3 linked regions of the Elephas maximus indicus genome follow. The protein of the gene in region 2 purifies or fractionates together with the protein of the main gene of each other region. This does not show direct contact. Links are inferred from orthologs where the notes say so. Each region holds a gene or a part of one and is shown on either strand. Other genes may lie near its edges.

The links.
Region 1: the proteins of ARID1A (region 2) and SMARCD2 purify together in Homo sapiens (affinity purification with mass spectrometry; 7 studies listed by BioGRID and IntAct, with this or other methods). This does not show direct contact. The link is inferred for Elephas maximus indicus from reciprocal best matches to the Homo sapiens genes ARID1A and SMARCD2.
Region 3: the proteins of ARID1A (region 2) and DPF2 purify together in Homo sapiens (affinity purification with mass spectrometry; 6 studies listed by BioGRID and IntAct, counting the BioPlex papers as one, with this or other methods). This does not show direct contact. The link is inferred for Elephas maximus indicus from reciprocal best matches to the Homo sapiens genes ARID1A and DPF2.

The regions. Positions count from the first base shown.
Region 1 is NC_064837.1:55,038,665-55,046,177, reverse strand, and holds the start of SMARCD2 (SWI/SNF-related matrix-associated actin-dependent regulator of chromatin subfamily D member 2), read left to right. Parts: upstream 1-4,435; 5' UTR 4,436-4,739; coding exon 4,740-4,955; intron 4,956-7,513. UniProt on the Homo sapiens protein: Involved in transcriptional activation and repression of select genes by chromatin remodeling (alteration of DNA-nucleosome topology).
Region 2 is NC_064821.1:67,143,668-67,151,279, forward strand, and holds the start of ARID1A (AT-rich interactive domain-containing protein 1A), read left to right. Parts: upstream 1-4,514; 5' UTR 4,515-4,565; coding exon 4,566-5,678; intron 5,679-7,612. UniProt on the Homo sapiens protein: Involved in transcriptional activation and repression of select genes by chromatin remodeling (alteration of DNA-nucleosome topology).
Region 3 is NC_064825.1:128,496,175-128,503,293, reverse strand, and holds the start of DPF2 (zinc finger protein ubi-d4), read right to left. Parts: upstream 3,079-7,119; 5' UTR 3,002-3,078; coding exon 2,970-3,001; intron 1-2,969. Other genes in the region: CDC42EP2 (cdc42 effector protein 2), read right to left, coding at 6,883-7,119. UniProt on the Homo sapiens protein: Plays an active role in transcriptional regulation by binding modified histones H3 and H4. Is a negative regulator of myeloid differentiation of hematopoietic progenitor cells. Might also have a role in the development and maturation of lymphoid cells.

The DNA.
Region 1 (7,513 bases), on a different chromosome or scaffold from region 2:
CCAATCTCTCTGTAGATGCAACAGGATCAAGACGGAAAGGTTATGGGAAAGCCCTTTCTCTAGACTGGAAGGCCTCAATAAAAGTTGTTGAAACGGATCTCCAAAAAGTGGGCAGTGAGCAGACTAAGTATGGAGGGAAGAAGGGGAAGAGAGAAAAAGGCATTCCTTGCTGAGGGAACAAAGGCATGGAATGATGCCTCCATGACTGCAATGTCTAATAACGAGCTGCATAATTAAGTCCTATGAGGGTGGGTGTGTCTCTTCCCCCATCTCTATCTATTCTTTAGCCTTAACTCAGTGCTTTTTTCACAAGATCTTGAATTGTCCTGAGGTGAGACAGCAGATTCCATTTGCCTATTAGGTAACCACTAATAGCATCTCCTTCAAACCAAAGGGCTCCAGGAAACCTTGTCTGATTAATCAGGACCTACTAATCAACTTATTTTTCTCTGATTCCGGATGACACTAGCTTGAACACTATTTATTTGCAAGTAATAACAGACTCAGCTACCAACAAGAGGTAATAAATTTTGCGTAGTGGTTAAGTGCCTAGGTTGTGGATGCTAGAGCATTTATATGACATTCTGGCAAAGGCAACGCTACAGAGACAAATCAGATCAGTGGTTGCCAAGGGCTGCGGATGGGGATAGGGGACTCTATTGCCCTCAAAGGGATATGAAGGAACTTGCAATGATGGAAATGTCATTTATCTTGATTGTGATGGTAGTTATATGACTGTACTCATTTCTTCAAACTTAAAAAAACTACACCTAAAAAGGTTGATCTTACCATGTGTAAATTTTGCATGTGAAAGTTGAACAATGAATAAGGAAGACCAAGGAAGAATTGATGCCTTTGAATTATGGTGTTGTGAAGAATATTGAATATACCATGGATTGCCAGAAGAACGAACAAGTCTGTCTTGGAAGAAGTACGGCCAGAATGTTCCTTAGAAACAAGGATGGCAAGACTTCATCTTCATACTTTTGACATGTTATCAAGAGGGAACTGTTCCTGGAAAAGGACATTATGCTTGGTAAAGCGAGGGTTAGCAAAAAAGAGGAAGACCGTCTACCTGATGAATTGACACGGTGGCTGCAATAGTGGGCTCAAACATAGCAACGATTGTGAGGATGGCGCAGGATGAGGCAGTGTTTTGTTCTTTTGAACACAGACAGGGTCACTATGAACTGGAACCAACTCGATGGCACCTGACAACAACAACACATCATATATAGTATGTATCTCATATACATTGTAAGGATTAAAAAGGTAATATGTGCAGGCACATGGTAAATGCTTAACAAATGTTAGCTATTTTTTTATTTTCAGAATTGACTTGACAGCAACAGGTTTGGTTTTGGGTTATTTTCTGCCTACCCTACGGGAAATCTTTCTTAATCTCTATCATGCCTTAGATATCGGTATTTTCCCCCTAATATCTTGAAGATATTTTCATCACAATAATTAAGTTATTCTTGACATTATCTGTTTATCATTCTCTCCCACTACACTCATAGCTCATTTATTCATTCCTAAATATGAGTTGAATAGGTTACAACAGTGATGAAGAGAGGCACAGTTCCTGCCTTCACAGAGTTTATATTTTAGTGGGGGAACCAGATCAGACAGTAAGCTAACCAAAAAACCCATTGCTGTTGAACTGATTCTGACTCATAGCAACCCTACAGGACAGCAGAACTGCCCCATAGGGTTTCCAAGGCTGTAATCTTTATGGAAGCAGACTGCCACATCTTTCTCCCGTGGGTTCTAACTACCAACCTTTCGGCAAGCAGCTGAAATCACTATGCCACCAGGGCTACTTGACAATAAATTGCGTACACATAAGTAAGTAATTACATATTGTGATAATCACTTGACAGGAAGTAAAGGAAGTAAGGGAGACAGTGGAAAAGCTAGAATGAGCTGGGGGCAGAAGGCTCTGAGGCGGGAAGGGGCTTGCAGTTTGAAAAACTGCAGGGAGACCATCTTCTTGTTGGCCCTTAGAAAGCCAATGGCTGAGATTTAAAATGTGCCAAAGAGGTAAGCAAGTGCCATGTCCTTGTAGAACACTTATATGTCATGAAAGGGAGGGTGACATTCAATCTAACAGCAATGATGAGCTGGGAAGGATATTAAACGAGGGATTAGTAGGGTCTGGTTTACACTGAACTGTTTTATCTGTTTTTAAGTGCACATACTAGCAGCCTCTTTTCCAAAGCAGTAGTTCTCTAGAAGGGGGGTTGTATCAGAAATAACTGGAAGGCTTATTCTTAAAATACAGTACAGGGAGTCCCCCCTTCCTTACTGGATTTGAAGAAGGGGGCTGGTAGGAATATTCTTGGAACAGCTCCCCTGGCGATTTTGATTCTCTACCACCCCTACCACTTCCTTGAGAACTCCTGCTGAAGGAGCTTAGAAGGGTTGAAATGGATGTTAACTGCCTTATCATGACCTCTTTACCCATCTTACAGGTGAGGGGAAGAGACCACTGCTCAATGAATGTAACAATTCTGGTGACCTGTCCCTAGACTGCCAAAGCCCTGGCGATGCAGTGTTTCAGCACAGTGGTTCAGCCTGGCTGCTAACTGAAAGGCTGGTGGTTCGAACCCACCTGTCGCTCCGTGAGAGAGATGTGGCAGTCTGTTTCCATAAAGACTTACAGCCTTGGAAACCCACTGGCGTAGTTCTACTCTGTCTTTATGGTTGCTATGAGTCAGAATCAATTTGACAGCGATGAGCTTTTTTTGGTCCCTAGACTGGCAGGTAAACTGACTTTTGAGGAGGAAGAGGAAACTGAGAGGACCAAGAGGTAGCAAAGCAGCAGCAATAGCAGGGTTTATCACTGGAAGAAAGATACAAGGAGGTACATATCAGGAAAACTAATTTCTAAAAAGGACTGGAGGGCTGTGCTATAAACAAGCTCTAGGGTGCTATGGTACAAGGAGGTAAGCAATCACTTGCTTGGGGATGAAAACATAAAGCAGAGGATTAGGGCCAAATAGGCCAAACAGTCTTTTACTTTGGCCACTCAAAGTGTGGTCTGAGTAGCAACAGCATCGCTTGAGAATTTGTTAGAAATACAGAATCTTGGGCCCCACTCCAGACCTTGTTGTTGTTAGATGCCATCAAGTTGATTTTGACTTATGGCAACCCCATGTGACAGAGTAGAACTGCTCCATAGGGTTTCCTAGGCTGTAATTTTTAGGCGTCAGGAGAAAGATGTGGCAGTCAGCTTCCCTAAAGATTAAAACCAAAAACCAAACCCATTGCTGACCAGTCAATCCAGACTCATAGTGACCCTACAGGACAGAGTAGAACTGCCCCATAAGGTTTCCAAGGAGCAGCTGGTGGATTTGAACTGCTGACCTTCTGGTTAGCAGCTGAGCCCTTAACCACTGCACCACCAAGGCTCCTCTCTAAAGATTACAGCCTTGGAAACCCTACGGGGCAATTCTACACTGTCCTATATGGTGGCTATAAGTCGGAATCGACTGGACAGCAATGGATTTGGGTTTTTGGTTAATCTTTACAGGAGCAGATTGCCAGGTCCCTCTCCCAGAGCCACTGAGTAAGTTCAAACCACCAACCTTTCAGGTAGCAGCCAAGTACTTAAAACTGTTGCACCATCAGGGCTATTGAATCATAATCAACATTTTTAATGTGAGCCTTAGGTGTCCTGTATGCTCATAAAAGCTTGTGAAGCACTGGTCTGTATTAGGGGAGGAGACCTCAGATCACCTAAGGTAAGCTACCTGGATTTTTGAAAAATGAAGTGCTATAACTACTGGAGAAACACCTTATTTAACTGCAGGGAGATTTTTCATAGTCCAAATTTTCTTCACCTAGAAAAACTTCATGTGAAGTCAAGTACTGGGCTTCCTTAAAGTGAGGCAAAGCCATGTTAAAAATGCACGAGAAGAATTTAGCAATTAGCCAAGTCGACCCTTAACACAGCTGGGTCGGGTCTGGAACCGCTGATGTCCTTTGGCAGCTCTGAGCCACCAGGAAGAGCTTTATAAGAAAGCCGAGTTGGCAGCTGTTCTGCCCCAGAGAGCAGCCCTTATTTGTCTTTAATGCTGAAAATGTAAAAAGGATATCTGACAAAACTACGTAAAGTCTGGCGGCTACACCAGAGAGAGAGCAGCAACTACCCCAGTCAGTGTGGCGGCCCCATGTAACCTTCGACTTCTGACCCCGAGCCTTGCTTGGCGTTTCCGGGCTAAGCTTCCTCTCCCGCCCCTCCGGCGAAGGGCCGGCCCTAGCATTGTGGGCGGGGCCTGGGGGGGGCCGGCAGTTAGGGGCGGTGCCTGCTAGGGGCGGGTCTCGCGAGGGGCGGGATTTGAGGAGGCATCCTAGCATTGGGCAGCTAGAGGTAGGCGGGGCCTACTGCAGGGCTGGGTTGGGCGGGGCAGGGAGCTAGTTGCAGCCTCTGGGTAAGCTGGGCGCCGGCGGCTCAACTTGCCGCGGCTCGGGGGCGGCGGGCGGGCGCGTAGCAGATCCCGGATCCGGAATTTGCACGACAGGAGCGGAATCAGGATTGGCCCTAGCCCAAACCGGGTCAGTGAGCAACTCCCGAACTTGGATTAGGAAATCCCGGAACCCGGATCAGCAAACCCCAGAACTCGGATTGGCAGAACCCGGAATTTAGATCGGAAAGTCCCGGAGCACGGAGCACGGACCGGATTCGTCGCGAAGCCCGGAGTCCGGATCGCGACACCGCCGGACGGGACGGAGCGATGTCGGGTCGTGGCGCGGGCGGGTTCCCGCTGCCCCCGCTGAGCCCCGGCGGCAGCGCCGTGGCCGCGGCCCTGGGGGCGCCACCTCCCCCCGCGGGACCCGGCATGCTGCCCGGACCGGCGCTCAGGGGACCAGGGCCGGCTGGAGGCGTGGGGGGCCCCGCGGCCGCCGCCTTCCGCCCCATGGGGCCCGCGGGGCCCGCAGCGCCGTACCAGGTAAGGCGGTGGCTGGGCGGGCGGAGCCGCGAGGGCGCCCCGGGCAGGGACAGAGCGGGCGCGCGGGTAGAGGCCCTGGGAGTGCCTCCTGGGCAGAGGGCATAGTCCCTGCACGGGGTCTCATGGGATATGTGGAAGACAAAACCAGGGACCCTCAGGGTGCAGCCGGGAGGTGGTGGAGGAGTTGGGGGAAAAGGGTAAGAGGGTCTCTGGGGTGGAGGGTTTGAAGCAGTTCGGAGGGTCTGGGGGTCCCGTGGGGGCTGGGATTCTGAGTGAGATATAGGAGTCGTAGGAGCTAGTGAATGTGTGGCTCTGAGAAATCTGGCGTAGATCCTGGGTTGGGGTCCTGGGAAGTGACGAGAAAGTTTTGGAAAAGGGGAGCCTCAAGGGCCCTCACTGAGAAATCAGGGTTTTGCTGCATTGACCTCGTCCCACCCCAAGTCTACCCTGGTTTTTCTAGTCCGGAACTGGGAGAGTTTAGCATGCCCTGTCCTGTTGGCTGGCTGCGTTCTTAGATGGCTCCCAGCTGCTTAAGAGGAAGAAGAGCCTGGCTTCCCAGAGCGTGGGAGGCTGAGGACAGAGCAAGGGGATTCCACTTAATGGGGTGACTGAGTTAGAGCAGAGACCGTGGTGGTCAGGCTGAGGAAGAAAAGCCTAGCCCCGTGACAGACCGTTCCGGCCGTTCTCTTCTTGGCTTTGTGCCTGTTGTCATAGTGTCCAGGAGTTGATTAGTCTGGAGGAGCAGGGAAGCTCCACTGAGCCCTGCTGGTCTGGGGTGGAAGGAGCTGGGAGAGTCACTTCGAAGGACCCTACTGTCCTGACCCCTTTGGAGTTTGTGAGGAGAGCTCCAAAGGCTTTGAGAGGCACAGACTGGATCCTCAGGGTCAGTGTGTGAGGAACTCTGCCTGACCCTGCTGGTGGGACTCAACAGTCCCCTTGTCCCGTCCGTTGTTTCAGGTGGCCCCAGAATGCTTGAGAATTGTCCGTCCTTTTTACCCCTTCTCCATTTTCATTTAGCCTTAAGGGTCTCATACCACCATATCCCAGCCCGTGTGCCCCAGCATTTGGCACAGGCTTCTTACTAATCTCCCAAGGTCTACACTGGGACTTCCTTTGACCCCTCCTCATGTCACCTGGGAGAGGTCCTGGAAGTGGTCCCTCATGGGGTAGGATGTGTGCAGAGCCGTCACTTTCTAAAGAAATAGTTAACGGGGGACAGTGATTTTTTTTTTTCCTCTTATGCTCTGTCTCTTTCTCTCCTCTCCCAAAAGAAAACAGAAGGTGTGAATATGGACAGAGATTGACCTGGCCCCAAGGCCTCCAGCTGGAGTCCATCTTTCCCACCTTGCCCTCCCCTTTGGGGATTCATGGGCCCAAGTGTCCCTGAGGGGTCTCCACATGGACCATTATAGCCCTTGGGCCTGTTAGCTGAGACCTGGACTGTGAGTCTCTCTGTGAGCCTTAGGCCTGGGGAGACCTGAAATCGGAGAGGAGACTGTTCAGCTCCCTTGGCATGCACCCCATGGGAAATGTGCCCTTAGGAAAGCCCCTTCTAGGATTGATCCCACAAGGTTTTGTGGGGAGTGGCCGTGGTACTGCAGCAAGGCCGAGGTGGCTGGCCGAGTGGCCTGGGCTTTATGGTGGGGAACTAGGGGAAGGCACCGACCCTCTGCTTCCCAAGGCTTCCCATCCCATCCGTAGATGTGGAGAGGGAGAATCCAGCTCACTTTGGTGAGTTTGGAAGTAGGAGGATCTGCTTGCCCTCTTTCTAAGGGGGGTGGTTTGACTCCCGGATCTGAGGAGCAAGAGCAGTTCCTGTCTATGAGGGCTCGTTAGGTGAGGTGGAAGAGCAGACATTCGAGGGCCTGAGCTAGGCAAATTAGGGGAGCCAACGGAAAAGAGGGGCGTGATGAACCAGCTCCCTCTAGACACTGGTTCGAACAGTCAGCGGAGGAGCTTCAAAACACCAGAAAATCAGAAGTGCACACATACGCGTATGCTCCCACCTGTGCACGCACGCAGGCACCACGAATTGCTGGGTTTATTCTGGAGAATTTAGAATACTTGCTGCTCATGGGGAATATGTTCTCCTCTAACTGAGGCCCAGCCACCAGGAGTGTCGGGGCCACAGGCTTGGGGCAGTGAAGAACGTGCTCTCTTGAGGTCTGGATTCCTCAGCTGGAGGCCCACAGCATCAGGCCCAGCCTTCTGCCCCTGCTGTCCTGGTGGTGGTGGTGGTGGTGGTGGAGCCAAGCTTACAATATGGCCTGTGCTGGGCCAAAGAGGGGAGGTTACTGCATGCTTCTGAGGGTCAGGGGACTGAGTCAAGCCCACCTAGCTGGGCTGCAGGCTGCATAATCTGGAATGCCAAGAGCTGAGAGTTCTGGGCTTTTTTTTTTTTTTTTTTTAATTCCTGGGTTATTTTTTTGAAGGGGGAGGAGTTACTGATGCTTCAAAGGCTAGCTGTGGAGCTTGGCAGGGCCAAGCTGGGGCTTCATGAACTGTGAGCTGCCTTCCCCTGGGCCCCTCCCCTCCTGGGAGAAGCCTGGGCCCTGGAT
Region 2 (7,612 bases):
ATAATAAGGTGCTCGAGTTGGGACTTCTTTCTCATGTTAGATTGACCCTGGGTGTTAGTTTTGTTTTTAACCTGCCGCAAATCAGATCAGCCTGGATCTTTATGTTATGTTATGTTTGATTCTATTTTGGGGGAAGGTGGTGGTGAGTGTAATTCTGTTTTACATTGGTACAAAGTAAACTCGTTGACTTATACCTAAGGGTATTTCTTCATAGCTACTCTTTCTTGTGAAAAAAAGCCTTATTCAAAACTACCATTTCTCAAATTGTGTTTCTTACCATTATTCTGAAATGTGAATTCACTGAAATTGTTTAAGACTTTCGAATGGGTGAAAAGCAGTCGTTGAGCTCTCTCCAAGCCTGCTGCGTTCTGGGTTGCTCCTTTGGGATTCTAGGTCCTTGGCAGGCACAATTTTACCGCGAAGAGCTGTTTAGTGCCACTCAGGCTCCATTCCACTTTTCTCCCTGCAGCTCCAGTTCGTATTTTACAGCTCCCGCCTGGGAGCTGGTAACATAATGAATTGCCTTGACTCTCCCTTCAATCCACTTTCCTCTCTTAATATGCAGCCCAAAGTTTTGCAGCTCGCTGTCAGATGGTAGTGCTAGACTTCCACACTGATCCCAAAGCCTCCGTTTGGGCTGTTTCTTAACACGCAGTTAAAAACTTTAAGAAACAGCTCCAGAAGGAAATCCACGCCAGGCTTTGAACTCTGCTTCTGGCTTCCGTCAACTGACAGAGTTGCCCTTTTGCTCAAACTCGCAGCTCCAGTTTGCACTCGGGAGAGCTCCACTGGGTGTCTGCTGCTTTGCCGCGGCGGGAACGTGTGTGTGGGGGCCACAGTCCGGCGCTCCAGAACCTAACCAAACCCGCACCGGACTCCCTAGGTTTAAAAGCTCTCCCTCCCGAAGGATTGGGGGAAGGAAGGAGGCTTGAGGAGCACAGCCCGATCTTTTGTTCGTTGTTTTGTATTTCAGGCATTTAGGGGAAGCAAACTGTGAGAGAGGAAGGGCTGTCGCCCCGTGCAAACGTTTCCTTCTCTTAGCAAACCCTCCAGGCCTCGTTTCCACATTTTACAGTTGACTGGGTGGATTTTAATAGGTTGTTCCCGGCCCCAATCCACGCACACTGTGCAGCCGGGTAAAATGAGAGCACATCCTCTGCCATTTTCAGCCGGTTTGTACTGGCAGCCCTGCCCCCCTTCCTGGGCTGCCGCAGCCGCTTTAGTTAATGTTGTGCGTTTAGAAACTCCGTCGGATCGTCCAGGCCGTAGATCCAGTCCACATTTGCCAAGTGCCGTGCGGTCGGGATGGTGATAAGAACTCTCTTGTGAGGCAGAGCGAGCGAGACTTTAGTCCGGTTTCCATGTCAACGATTCAGTCCATATTTGCCATCAGGCTGTTGGTGGCAGAGGCGCTTTCGTGAGGGTAGCGCTGTCCTAGTCCTCGTTTTCCAATCTGCGCCGGGATTCCTGAGCTGCCTGGGTGTGGGGTTAAATGGCAGGGGCCGTAGGGGAGAAAACTCCACCGTGGGGAGGACCCACAGCCCTGAGCCGGGGTCTCGCAGCTCGGGCCAGCCACGTGCCCGGCTCCTCCCCTCCCCCCCGTTCCCGCTCCTCTCGCTCCTAGGGAGAGCTGATGGGCCAGTTTCTAAGAAAGTTCTGTTCTGTCCGGCAGTTGCTGGGACGGTGGCGTGGGGCTCTAATGGTAGAAGTGGAAGAGGACCCTAAAAGATTTAAGGTTAAACAAAAGAAGGTGGGAAAGGAGAAATCGCACGTTACCTCACCCAACTCAGGTGGATAAATTTTGTGCACTTAAAAATAAAAAGGGTGGCTGTTTCCAAAACTGCCCACGTGTGGGGAGATGGGTTTTGGTTCTTTCCGTATTTCACAGAAATTGAAGAAAAGATGAGGTCTTCCTATGAAGACGAATCAGTTCTGGCTTCCAGGTTTTCACAGGTTTCCCATTATATCCCAGCTCTGAGGAAAACGGCAGGGTAATTGCACGTAAAAAATTCCTCATTTGTGTGCAAGACCCGGGACTGTTTGCCAGCTCAGTGGCAGTTGATTAAATAACCCAGCTCCACTTTATGAGGCAGCCTATAATTTGGTTTCTAGGACCTGATTCACGAGGAGAGTTGTTGCCCCTCTGTACTGTGAGTGAAACGGGGCACTGGCCCATTCCAGCCAGCCAGATCCTTTTGGTAGGCTGTTTTGGTTCTTGGCTTGGGGAGGTGGTGGAAGGCAGTGGTTTCGTTTTTTTGGATTTGCCCACTCTTAGATTAACAGGAAGGTTTTGCCTTTCTCGTGTAGGATCCTCTAGGTTAGTTTTGTTGGAGGTGGATATGAGTTCAGGCTTTTGTAATTAGTATGTGTCCAGTGAGTGGCCAGAACTCTAGGGAACTGCAGAATCTGGAAGGATATTGGTCTGTGGCCAGGAGATCTCCACTTAGAAAATCTGAGGGAAAAAGAGGCCCTGGTGTGTAAGGAAGACGCTGGCTTGGGCCTCCCAAGGCAGTCGTTGACCTGGTGAGGAGCTGGAATCCCCTCTGGCTCTCCTAGTCTGTCATATCAGAACGTTCCCAGTCAGCTTGAGGAAAAGGCTGCTGCTGGGACACCACCGTTGGAATTTTATATGTATGCCTTTATATTTTCAGAGAACCTGGTCTTATACCCAACTCCAACTAAATTGGGGTCTTAGAATGTATAGGTAAACTTTAAAGATTCTTTATACTGGTGGGGCGGCTAGACAACAAATCTGGGTTGCATCCACTTTCTGCATGACCTGTTAGGCTGTGCCTACGCTCTTTACAGAGAAAATGGTTTCTATCCTTTGGCCATCCCTCTTCTGCAATGGCTTGAACGCTCACATTTCTCTGGTACCCACTGGGAGTCTCTTCCGTGGGCTGTCTAGTCTTAACGTGTGCTGCCTTTGGAGGCTGGGGCTATTGGTTATTGTGGCCCAGACTTTCTTCGGAAGCGACCATAGGGCTTTGGTTCTACTGCTGGGAGTCTGACTGCCATATGCCCCACGGGAACTTCAGTGGCAAGCATTTTAAGTCAACGGTGAGCTGACCAGCTTTGATCTTAAATCCATTCTGATATTCTGATCCCATTGTTGGATTTGCTCACTACTTGACAGTTTTTTTTTTTTTTTTAAGGCTAAGTAGACATGTGGCAGCCTTGGAGACTCCACTTGCTTTTAAAGCCACCCTCCTCTGCCCTCTGACTTTAAGTGACCCAGGGCAGGTCCCCTCCCCTCTCGGTCTTTCAATTCTGTAAAATGGGGATAATCCGGACCCCATGCCCCTAGGGCCTTGTCAGGTCGGGCTAATGAGGGCAGGGAAGTGGGAAAGCGGAAAGTCTGAACAATAATCAGTCATTTCTTTCGGCTTGCAAAGAGAGTAAACTGCAGAGCCTCGTTCGCTCACTCAGCCGGGTCTTTAGAGCAGGTTTGTAAAGGGCTTTGAAGAAAAGTGCTGTAGAGGTGCTAAGTAGCAGCCAAGAGACCAGGCCCGCTGCCAGGGAGTCAAGCCTGGGCCGAGGCGGCCGCGGTCTCGGGCTCAGGCCAATTTTGCAGCCGCGGGTAAAGTTCACGCTGCCCGCTGCTCCCCTCCGTGCGGCCGGGGTACCCGCCAGGATAGGAACTCCGGGAGGGAGGCGGCGCAGGCTCCGGAGAGGCTGGAGCTCCAGGCCGGGTTTTCCCTGAAGCCTTCGGCGGCAGCGCTGCCGAGCGAAAGCGGCAGAGAGCCTGCCGCTGCCGCCACGGCTAGTTCTCTTCCCCTCCTCCTTTGTGAGGGGAAGAGAGCGAGTCCGCTCCGCGGCCTGCGCCCGCTCCGTGCTCCATTCCGGGTTTGCCAGGCGGCCGCGACGGTGCTGGGTAAAATGGCAGTGCTGAGCCTCGTGTCGGAGTGAGGGGGACTCGGAGGAGAGTGGGGCGCTCTAGCCGTTCAGTCGGGCCGTCCGCCTGCTCGCCCGCCCGCTGCCGCGCAGCAGCCTTGGCCACAGCCGCGGCCGGGGAGGGGAGGCAGGGCGTCCGGCCCGGCCAGCGCTCCGACTCTGCCTCCCGGCGCCCGGGCTGCTGCCGCGCGCCCTCCAGCCCGCCCGTCCCGGGTCCCCCTCCCCCCGCTCCCTCCCTCCCCGCCCCCTCCCCCTCGCCTCCCTCCCTCCCTCCCTCCTCCTTTCTCCGGCAGCAGAAAGCGGAGAGTCACAGCGGGGCCAGGCCCTGGGGAGCGAAGCCTCCACCGCCCCCCTCATTCCCAGGCAAGGGCTTGGGGGGAATGAGCCGGGAGAGCCGGGTCCCGAGCCTCCAGAGCCGGGAGCAGCTGAGCCGCCGGCGCCTCGGCCGCCGCCGCCTCCTCCTCCTCCGCCGCCGCCAGCCCGGAGCCTGAGCCGGCGGGGCGGGGGGGAGAGGAGCGAGCGAGCGAGCGCAGCGCAGCAGCGGAGCCCCGCGAGGCCCGCCCGGGCGGGTGGGGAGGGCAGCCCGGGGGACTCGGCCCCGGGGCGGGGTGGGAGGGGGGGAGAAGACGAAGACAGGGCCGGGTCTCTCCGCGGACGAGACAGCGGGGATCATGGCCGCGCAGGTCGCCCCCGCCGCCGCCAGCAGCCTGGGTAACCCGCCGCCGCCGCCCTCGGAGCTGAAGAAAGCGGAGCAGCAGCAGCGGGAGGAGGCGGGGGGCGAGGCGGCAGCGGCCGAGCGCGGGGAAATGAAGGCAGCGGCCGGGCAGGAGAGCGAGGGCCCCGCTGTGGGGCCGCCGCAGCCGCTGGGAAAGGAGCTGCAGGACGGGGCCGAGAGCAATGGGGGTGGCGGCGGCGGTGCCGGCAGCGGCGGGCCCGGCGCGGAGCCGGACCTGAAGAACTCGAACGGGAACGCGGGCCCTAGGCCCGCCCTGAACAATAACCTCACGGAGCCGCCCGGCGGCGGCGGCGGCGGCAGCAGCGACGGGGTGGGGGCGCCTCCTCACTCGGCCGCGGCCGCCTTGCCGCCCCCAGCCTACGGCTTCGGGCAGCCCTACGGTCGGAGTCAGTCCGCCGTCGCCGCCGCCGCCGTCTTCCACCAACAACATGGCGGACAACAAAGCCCTGGCCTGGCAGCGCTGCAGAGCGGCGGCGGCGGCGGGGGCCTGGAGCCCTACGCGGGGCCCCAGCAGAACTCGCACGACCATGGCTTCCCCAACCACCAGTACAACTCCTACTACCCCAACCGCAGCGCCTACCCCCCGCCCCCCCAGGCCTACGCGCTGAGCTCCCCGAGAGGCGGCACTCCGGGCCCCGGCGCGGCGGCGGCCGCCGGCTCCAAGCCGCCTCCCTCCTCCAGCGCCTCGGCCTCCTCGTCGTCTTCGTCCTTCGCTCAGCAGCGCTTCGGGGCCATGGGGGGAGGCGGCCCATCAGCGGCCGGCGGGGGAACCCCCCAGCCTACCGCCACCCCCACCCTCAACCAACTGCTCACGTCGCCCAGCTCGGCCCGGGGCTACCAGGGCTACCCCGGGGGCGACTACGGCGGCGGGCCCCAGGACGGGAGCGCCGGCAAGGGCCCGGCGGACATGGCCTCCCAGTGCTGGGGGGCCGCGGCGGCGGCGGCGGCGGCGGCCGCCTCGGGAGGGGCCCAACAAAGGAGCCACCACGCGCCCATGAGCCCAGGGAGCAGCGGCGGCGGGGGGCAGCCGCTCACCCGGACCCCGCAGGTACACAGCTGAGTGGGGAGGGGGCTGGGGCAAGCAGGGTCCTGGGGGTGGGTGGCGGCAGCGGGGAGCTGGCCACAGCCGTGGGCTCTCCCCAGTCCGGGGCCCCCGTTGCTGGGGAGCTGCCATTGTCTGGCTCTTCTCTCTTAAAATGGCTGCCTGTCTGCCTTCCTCTCTTTCCCTCGTTCAGTCTTTGTGTGGGGCTTTCCCAGAGGTGTCTGCTCCTCTTCTCCTTCTTTTCTGGTCCCTGCGAACTCCGGGGATCTTCAGGGGGTTGCGGAGCAAAGTGTGCGGGGGAAGGGCCCGGCCTGGGGTGAGGGGGTGCTGGGGGCTCAGGTTAGGGGTGTAGTTGGTGGCAGGGGCTCGCGAGTTGAACAAACAGTTCTTTGCTCACCTGCCGCTTTTCTCTGACCCCCTGGCTTCCTCTAGGCTGTTGCCCATCTGTGCTTTTAAAGAGGGGCCCCTCGGACTCGTGGGGACCTCGAGGGAGGGCAGGGGCCTGCTTGGGGGCAGGTAGAGGCCGGCTGCGGTTCACCCAGGGCAGCCTGGGCCGTGTTCTGTCTTAGTCTCCTTCGGCCCAGTGGCCTGGGCTTCTCCCTGGAAGTGCTGGTAAACAGCTGAGTGATTGGAGTAGTAAGTGCAGATTGCTTTGGTTTGGGATTTGAATTATGGAGGTAAAATCCTTCTGTCAAAGCCAGGAGACAGTTGGTCTTAGGTTGACATCCTATCTGTGATCTGATTGGCTCCCCATCTCCTGCTCTTGGCCATTTATAATTGCCTCTGATGTAATGGTACAACAATCCTGATGAGCTCATAAACTTTTACACTCTGCTTTTCTGCCAGTGATAACCCAAACCATCGCTGCCACTATCTGTCTTTTATTCCAGAGCTGAAATTGGCTGTGACCTTGAGGAGGGAGGTTTAAGCAGCAATACTGTATCAGCAAGAGCAGAGCCTCAGACAGGCTGCCCTTGTTACATTGTGCCAGAAACAAAAGAGGAGGCAATGGCATTTTGCTTGTACCTTGGATTTATTTTGCTTGTTATGTTTTATGCAGCCTGAAATAGATTCTGTGTTGTTAGAACAGTAGCTGAGTTTTTCTCTACAATGGGTTTGCTGTTTGTTTTGGTTTTGTGACTTTCCCGATGGTATAAATGACTTCTTTGATGGCTCTGAAGATGCATTTGTCTTAGAGTAATTTTGACTCTGTTCGCTTCGAAGAATTGAAATTATTTTACTTAGCTTTTTATTGAGTGGTGAATGTGGGATCTTTTTGGGGGGGAGGGTGGAAGAAAACTTTTATTTTTATTTTTTGGAGAACTGGAAGGTTTCTGAGAATTTCATATTAGGTTCAAGTGTTCTGTTTTAAGGAAGGCGGGCCCTATTCTTTGTTTACATGTTGAATCTTGTTAACGCTTTCTTTTGTTAATTGAACTTTGGGTGAGCAGCTCAGTTTAAAGGGAAGGGACTATCTGTCTTTCATGATTGTGAGAGGGACTTTCTCCTAAAATTCGTGGTTTGGTAAAATTTTTCGTTTACTCTTGGAATATCAAAAGGCTGGCTTTTTATTTTGCCATCAATCATTTTAGAGCTCAGCCAATTTTTTCTTTGCATTCTAAGGTATGTTCCTTTTTTTTCGGTCTTCTAGTTTTTTAGTATACAAAGAGATGACCTACAGTGATGCTTAAAGATTTGGTTAGATATTACAACTTCTAGTTACCTTTTTATACATTCTATTTTATTTTGCTCTTTTTCGGTCTTCATAATGCTTTGTTTTTAAGGCTTTGGTCAGGAATATAGGGTACTCTGTGGACCCATGTGTCTTTTCAAAGAGGGGCAAAACTCCCTTCACACACCCTCCTCCCCCAGCAGTAGCCACTTGTACCTTTCTGCTAGGAGAAGAGTTTGTTCACTTAGATGACCTAATTAGCTGCATT
Region 3 (7,119 bases), on a different chromosome or scaffold from region 2:
TGAGGCAGGAACAAATCTTGGGTTGGAGAGCAGAGATGGGAGAGGCTCACATTTGCTCGCCTTTAGGAGGCAGCCATGTCCTCACTACACAGAGGAAAACTGGATAAACAAGGCTGAGCGCAGCAGCTCCTTTGTTTCTGCTGATGGGAATTGATACTGACACTGGGAAGCCAAATGGAAGGAAGAACCAGACTGGCTGAGGGCTGCAAAGTCAAGAGCAAGGAGGCTGGAAGTGGACTGGGGGAATGGATGAGAGAAGTTCTGTAAAAGCTTTTGGGAGTTAAGTGGCATTTCAGAAGGTGGGCAAACTGCTGTGGTGGGTAAGAGGGCTGGAAACGAAGCATGTGAAGGGGGAAGTCTGATGAGGACTGAGCAAGGGAGGAGATAGAGCTTAAGAACTCGAGGCTGCTGTAGCAAGAAATTCCAATCAAATATTATTCTCCAGATCTTGTTAAAACCAGTCAGCAGCCACAGCTATTTTATGCTACTATCTTACCACCAGATGCCCCCTGAAAGCCCTATGGGGCAGTTCTACTCTGTCCTACAGGGTCATCATGAGTCAGAACTGACTCGACGACAATGGGTTTGGTTTCACCCTGGAAGGAGCCCTGGCAGTGCAGTGGTTAAAGCACTTGGCTGATAACTGAAAGGTCGGCAGATCAAACGCACAAGCTGCTCTGCAGAAGAAAGATATGGCGGTCTGCTTCCATGAAGACTGCAGCCTTAGAACCCCATGAGGCAGTTCTACTCTGTTCTACAGGGTCGCTATGAGTCAGAATTGACTTGATGGCAATCAGTTTTTATCTTACTCTGGTAAGACCCCTTAGAGATGGTTTCACTTCTGACCCCATATTTGGGAGGGACAGAGAATTTACTAATTGAAGAACTCTTCTCCCAGGACAAGATGTAAGCCAGGAAATAAGAAGTCCTGACCTCAAGGTATAACCTCAGCTGTCAGAAGACAGGCATACCACAATCAAGAGAAGCACCAGAAAAGCAGCTCTTTCCAGGGTGAGAATGGTACAGGCAGAATGGATGCCCCTTCTGAAAGAGAGAGTTCTGCCTGGAATGTATCAAGTGTGGTCCAGAGTCCTCTGCAGCTAGAACTAAGGAGGACATAGGTGGTTCCTCATTATTGGTACTCAGCAACCAGGGGCTGGTGACCCTCACAATCTCCTCAGTTCTTTAAAGAGAAATAAAAAGTCACGTTGTATTTAAAATGGGCAAGGCACCCCTTACCAACTACCTGCTATTTCCCTGAAGAAAGTCTTCTAGCATGAAGACCCTCATTACTTATAACTCTTAAAACCTAGGCAAGCCTGACATTTCCTCAGTACAGTAAGGTTCTCTAGGTGGCAGCCTTGATTCTTTCTCAGGGATGCGTTAAACCAGTAGAAAACCTCCCCTCACAATAGGATGGGGGGAGTTAACCATGGGAAGAGCAGGGGAAACAAAGAACATTTGAGTCAGGAAAGATAACTATAGAAATGGTAGATCAACATTGTCATTCCCAAATTGAGGAAAATGTCAGCCTGAGAAGACGGCAGAGGGGAAACTGGAGTGGGCAGATCAGAGAGGAAGATAATGGTGCTGGGAGGAGGGGCGGCTGAAAGAGGCAGCAGGATAGAGCAGAAAGCTAGTTAAAAAAAAAAAAAAAAACCCACAAGAGAAGGCACTTAGCTTAATGCAAGCGGGAAAGCATTCTCACAGAAAAGGCTCCAGGCAGGGGGAAGACGCAATGTACCCTTATAGAAGGCTCTGGGGAAGAGCAGGACTCAATGACAGATGAGAAGCTGTGAAGCCCTTAGAATAGTCCCCCAACCTTCGCCTTTTCACCAGCCAAAACCTAAAGCCCTGGCTGGACAGCTACCTCTTAATCTTCCTCTGCCTGCACCAAGCCCGTTAAAAAAAACTTGCCCTACTGGCCCACAAGAGAGCCCTGGTGGCGCAATGGTTAAGCGCTGGGCTACTAAGTGAAAGGTTGAAAGGTTGATGCTTCGAACCTACCCAACCTGGCGATCTGCTCCCCTAAAGATTACAGGTTACAGCCTAGAAAACCTTATGTGGCAGTTTTACTCTGTCACATGGGGTCGCTATGAGTGGGAATCGACTGGACTGGTACCTAACAACGACACTGGCCCACGGGGTATTAAGCCATCTCAAAACTCACTCGAATCCTTCTTCTGGGAGGAGCTGCGGTCAAACCAAGTCCCAAAGCATCTTTAAATTCACAGGAAGCAACTAACAGGCCATTCTCCGTTTTTCCGACACCTCTAACTCTGAACTCTGCCTGAAATCCGCCCAGCACAGCGGTATCGTCTAGGACCAGGAATGCAGACCTAGACGTCCCTCCAGGATACATGAAGTTGTCGGGACTGCTTCCGTTCAGTCCCCGATGTTTTGACGGCCGGGACAGGCCGGCACAAAGGCCCGCTCCTCTTAAGCGCTTTCTCTTCCGGAGCTGCTTCTCCACAGATTCCTCCCAAGGAGAGCTGGAGTCTGGGGTCCCTGACAGCGCGCCCCCCGCCGTCCCGGGCGGCTGGGACACTGGGCCCCGCAGCCCTTCCCCGCACAGGCTCCGAGCCTGTTGCTCCGGGCCGGCTGCGGGGAAACGGTCGGCCCCGCTCCTCCGACTGAGGCGTCTCGGGAGGGGACCCGGGATGGCGTGTCTTCCGCAGGCGGCAAGGGCGCCATACTCGGGGTGTCGCAGGTCCTGAGGGAGCGCTCAGGCCACCAACCTCGCAGGGAGGGCCGTTGGGGGCTCCCGCCTGCCCCCTCCGGGCCTCCACAAGTTTCCAAAGAAGCGCAACGTCTCCTCCGGAGCCTCCTGTTGCCCTCCCCGCTAGGAGTCGCACCACGGCCTTCCCGGGCCTGGCTCTGCCTTCGCCTCGTTCCCTTCCCGCACCGCCCCCACTCCCAGGCCTCTCACAAGACCTCCCGGGCTCGCAGAGAAAGAAAGGACCACTCACAGCTTCACTACATTTTCCACCACGGCCGCCATCTTCCCTGCTCCTCTCCCTCAGGCCGGGAGGCCCCGGAGCCCGCAGCGCGCAGGCGCCGGGGCCGCGCCAGGGAGTGCGTTTCCTCGTCCCTCTGCGCAGGCGCCGCCCGGGCGCGCGCGCTCGAGAGCGAGCGCTGGAAAGTAACCTCCGTGCCCGTTAGCGGGCGTCGGGCAGGAAAGGTGTGAGGGAGCCAAAGGCAGCCCGACGCGCAGGCGCGACCGGGGACGGGCGCGCGCCCCGCTGCACCTGTTCTAGTCCCGCCTCTTCCATTTGGAGGAGCGGGAGGAGGGAGGAAGGATCTGCCCCACACAGAAATGAGAAGGCAAAAATGTTGGCGAGAACAGCCAGTGTTCCAGGGATGGTCTGGTGGGAGCGCATGCGTCTTTAACCACGTGGTTAACCCTTGTGCCTTTACTCATAGATGGGGATTGGTGGTATGGAAGGTGAGAGTGGTGCACAGCCCACTTGTGCCCATTTTAGGGAAAGGAAAGGAAGGGGAAGGGAGGGCGACAAAAGTTACCTCATCTTCCTGCCACCAAACCTACCCACCGAACTGCACTGAATACGTGGATATGGGAACCAAGGAGTGGAAGTGGGAGGTGCAGCCTCTGGCATTCTCAACTAATGGACCCTTTTGCAAAATGTTTTCTGTTTCTGCATCTCTGGGCTGGGCTCTGTCTGGTTTAGAGCCTTCAGGATCCAAGGAGCCCCTGGGTGGCATGAATGGTTGAGTGCCACTACTAGCTGAAAGGTTGGCGATTCAAACCCACCCGGAGGCACCTAGAAAGTCAGGCCTGACGATCTGCTTCCAAAAGGTCACAGCCTTGAAAACCCTATGGAGCAGTTCTCTGCACACATGGGTTGCCATAGTGGGAATCAACTCCAGGGCAACTAACAGGACCCAAGGAAGGAATGCGTCCACCCGGGGCTGGGGAGCACAATAAGGATCTTTTTAAATTAGTAGCCAAGACTGTCAAGAAGGAGCCCTGGTGGTGCAGTGGTTAAGTGCTGGGCTGCTAACCCAAAGGTTGGTAGTTCAAACCCACCAGCCACTCCTCAAGAGAAAGATGTGGCAGTCTGCTTCTGTAAAGATTACAGCTTTGGAAACCCTAGGCACAGTTTGCCCTGCGGGCATTTGCTAATCTGGAAGCTATGACTGTGAAATTTAGCTACTGGTTGGCAGTCTTTGGGGACAGGGACAAAAATCAAAACGCAGAGTCTGTCCAAGGTAGGAAATCAGATCCCCGGCCCCCTCCTAGACACACACACACTAAGTTGGGACTCCAACTTCCTCGGACTTGCAGCCCTGATCAGGCTACCTGGGTGGTCCAAAATGAGGTCTGGGACACATCTCCTTGTAAAGAACCCTGACCAGCCAAGATACTGGCTGAAAGCCAACGGAACATGTTCTGGGCCATGAAGGAGGGGAGTTATTCATACCAGCTACAGCTTCCTTGTAGAAAAAGTCTGTAGCTTCTACGTGTGTTTTTTTCTCGCTGTGTCAAATATATTTTTTATGTATTTTCATCCTCCATTCACTCTTGTACATAGGGTATGTTGGTGGTAAGGAACTTTAGAATTACTTAACCGTTGCGCCACCAGGGCTCCTTAGGGTGCATGTATAAGGAACCCTGTTGGCACAATGGTTCAGTGGTCAGTGGTTTGAACCCACTCATCTGGTCCATGGAAGAAAGACCTGGCAATCTGCTTCCATAAAGATTACAGCCTAGGAAACCCTGTGGGACAGTTCAACTTGGTCACATGGGGTCACTCTGAGTGGGAAATCGACTCAATAGTACCTAACAACATTTGTATGTATTTTAAGAGTAAACACTAATATAAGACATGCATGGAAGTTGAATATCCATAACAGTAGACCCTTAGAAACACTGGTAATTTTTCTGGCTGTCCAACAACTTTTCTTCCTATTTTGGGGACACGGTACCTGAACCCCATTATAAAAGCTGAAGAGGTACAGTCCCTTTTCTCCCTACCCCTGGCTACCTTGGAGTAAGCTGGTAGTCCAAGTTCAGTCAGGTGCTTCAGGTCCCCTCCCTAGTTCTTTATCCACCCCATGTCACAGCCCTAAGTGGTTCCCGGGGTCCTTTGGCTGGTGCCTGATGTAAGGTGGATCGAGAGAGGTCCAGGGGGACCCAGCACAGAAATGTCCTCCTTCTGTGGCTACTCTGGCCTCAGCTCAGCTCCAGGGTGAGGTGGTGCCTTCAGGGTGGGTGCAGCAATAAGGAAGTGTCTCTTTTTCTTGTCTTTCCCTTCCAAGGCAGAAGAGAACAAACGCCCAAGCACTGAGGAGGAGCTTGCAGGCAAGAAGGTGCTGGGCCTTCAGCTCCCTAACCCTTTGCCTTCACAAACTTTACCAGGGCACTGAGGTACCAGAGTAAATGATGGTGAGGAACTGCTATGTGACAGAAATAGCACTGACCTTGGAGTCTGACTATGTGAGACTGAGTTTTAACTTCTGTAAAATGGAGCTAAAGATACCCACCTCACAGGGTTATTGAGAAAATTAGAGATCACTGTTCCAAAATGGTTGTGGTGTGTGACTTGGGGCTCCAGAAAGGCAGGACTCTGATGTTGGAAAAGTGGTTCAAATCACCTTAGAGCAGTTTTGCTTGCAAGGCTGAAGCTGAGGCAATGGGGGAGCTCCCAAAGGATTTGAAGCAGGAAAGAACAGTCAGACTAGGTTTCAAAAAGGCACCACCCAGGCCAGTGAAGAGCGGCCCGGAGATCACAGAATCACATCTGATCACCTTTATGTGCCCTGACACCACGGCACTGGTCCCAGCTGTTTTCTTCATCACACTGTTTTCTTCATAGCATCCACCATTGTTGGAAATCATCTTACCTGTTTACAAACGTTATCAACCTCCTCCCACGCTGGAATGTCAGCTCCAAGAGAGCAGGGATCTAGTCTGTCTTGTACCCCAGCACCTGGAGCCACACCTGGCACATGGTGGATGCTCAGTAAACAGCTGTGGCTCCAGCTGATGGGCAACACGGCCAGGTCTGTCCCCCACTCCTGCATGCTCCCCAGCCCCCTGATGCCAGAGAATCTCCCTGAGAGTCCCCTGTACAGCCTTTGTGCTTCGTCTTACCCTTGGGTCTCCTCCAACAGACCCTGGCTGCCTGGGCACGACCAGCCCCAAGCCCAGCCCACACCAGCCAGCACCCAACCAATGTGGGAACGGCCACAGTTGGTCACTTGGTCTGTTCCTGCTCCATCCTCACTACAGCCAGGGCCTAATCCCCACAAAGGCCTCTCGGACTGGGGTCCCCTGCAGGGTGAGTTCGCAGTGCAGACAGTGGCCCAGCTTCAGGAGGAAACCTAAGACAAACGGGACAAGGCATGGGAAGACAGCCACCAGCAGCACCAAGTTTTATTACAACCAGAATCCCCCAGTCATGTGGAAGGGGACTAAGCAGGACACCTTCAGTCACTGCTGTGATGCCCCCGGACTAAGATGTGAAGCCAAAGGTCCCAAACCTCCACCTGGCTGAGCCCTGCCTTCCTCACCCCCACCTCCCCCCACCAGTCAGGACACCCCACTGGACTGAGCAGAAAGGAGGTGAGAAGGGGAGTTCTCTTCAGCACAGCCTTTACCCAAGGAGTCTGAGGAGAGGAAGAGCCATTGTCGGGGGGTTCAGGGCTGTTTGGGCCGGCGCCTCTTGCCCATGTCCTTGGTGGGCTGTTAGGGGGAAGCCATGTGGGCACTCTGCCCATGGATGAGGATGGAGGGAGAGAAACAAAGGCTCAAAGTGAGAAACCACGGCCACCACCAAACAGGTGGGACCTGGGGTCTGCCTCCTAGGCCAGGGCTGTGTCCACACACTGCCCTGAATCTGCCCGGCCTGGCTGCAGGTGCTACGTGGGGATCTGTACGCGGTCCAGGTCCTGGTCCTGGTCCATGATCTGGAGCACATCATCCAGGATGGAGGGCCCCAGGTCCACGTGCAGGGAGAGCAGGGAGCTGGCATGGGACAGGAAGGGCTCCTCTGCCCCGGACTGGGGGGTCAGCCCGTTGCGGGCAGGGCCAGCCTCTGGAGTCCTCCAGATGTCCACGTCCCCTGCCTCCTGCGGGGAGGGCTGGGAGGAGGGTTG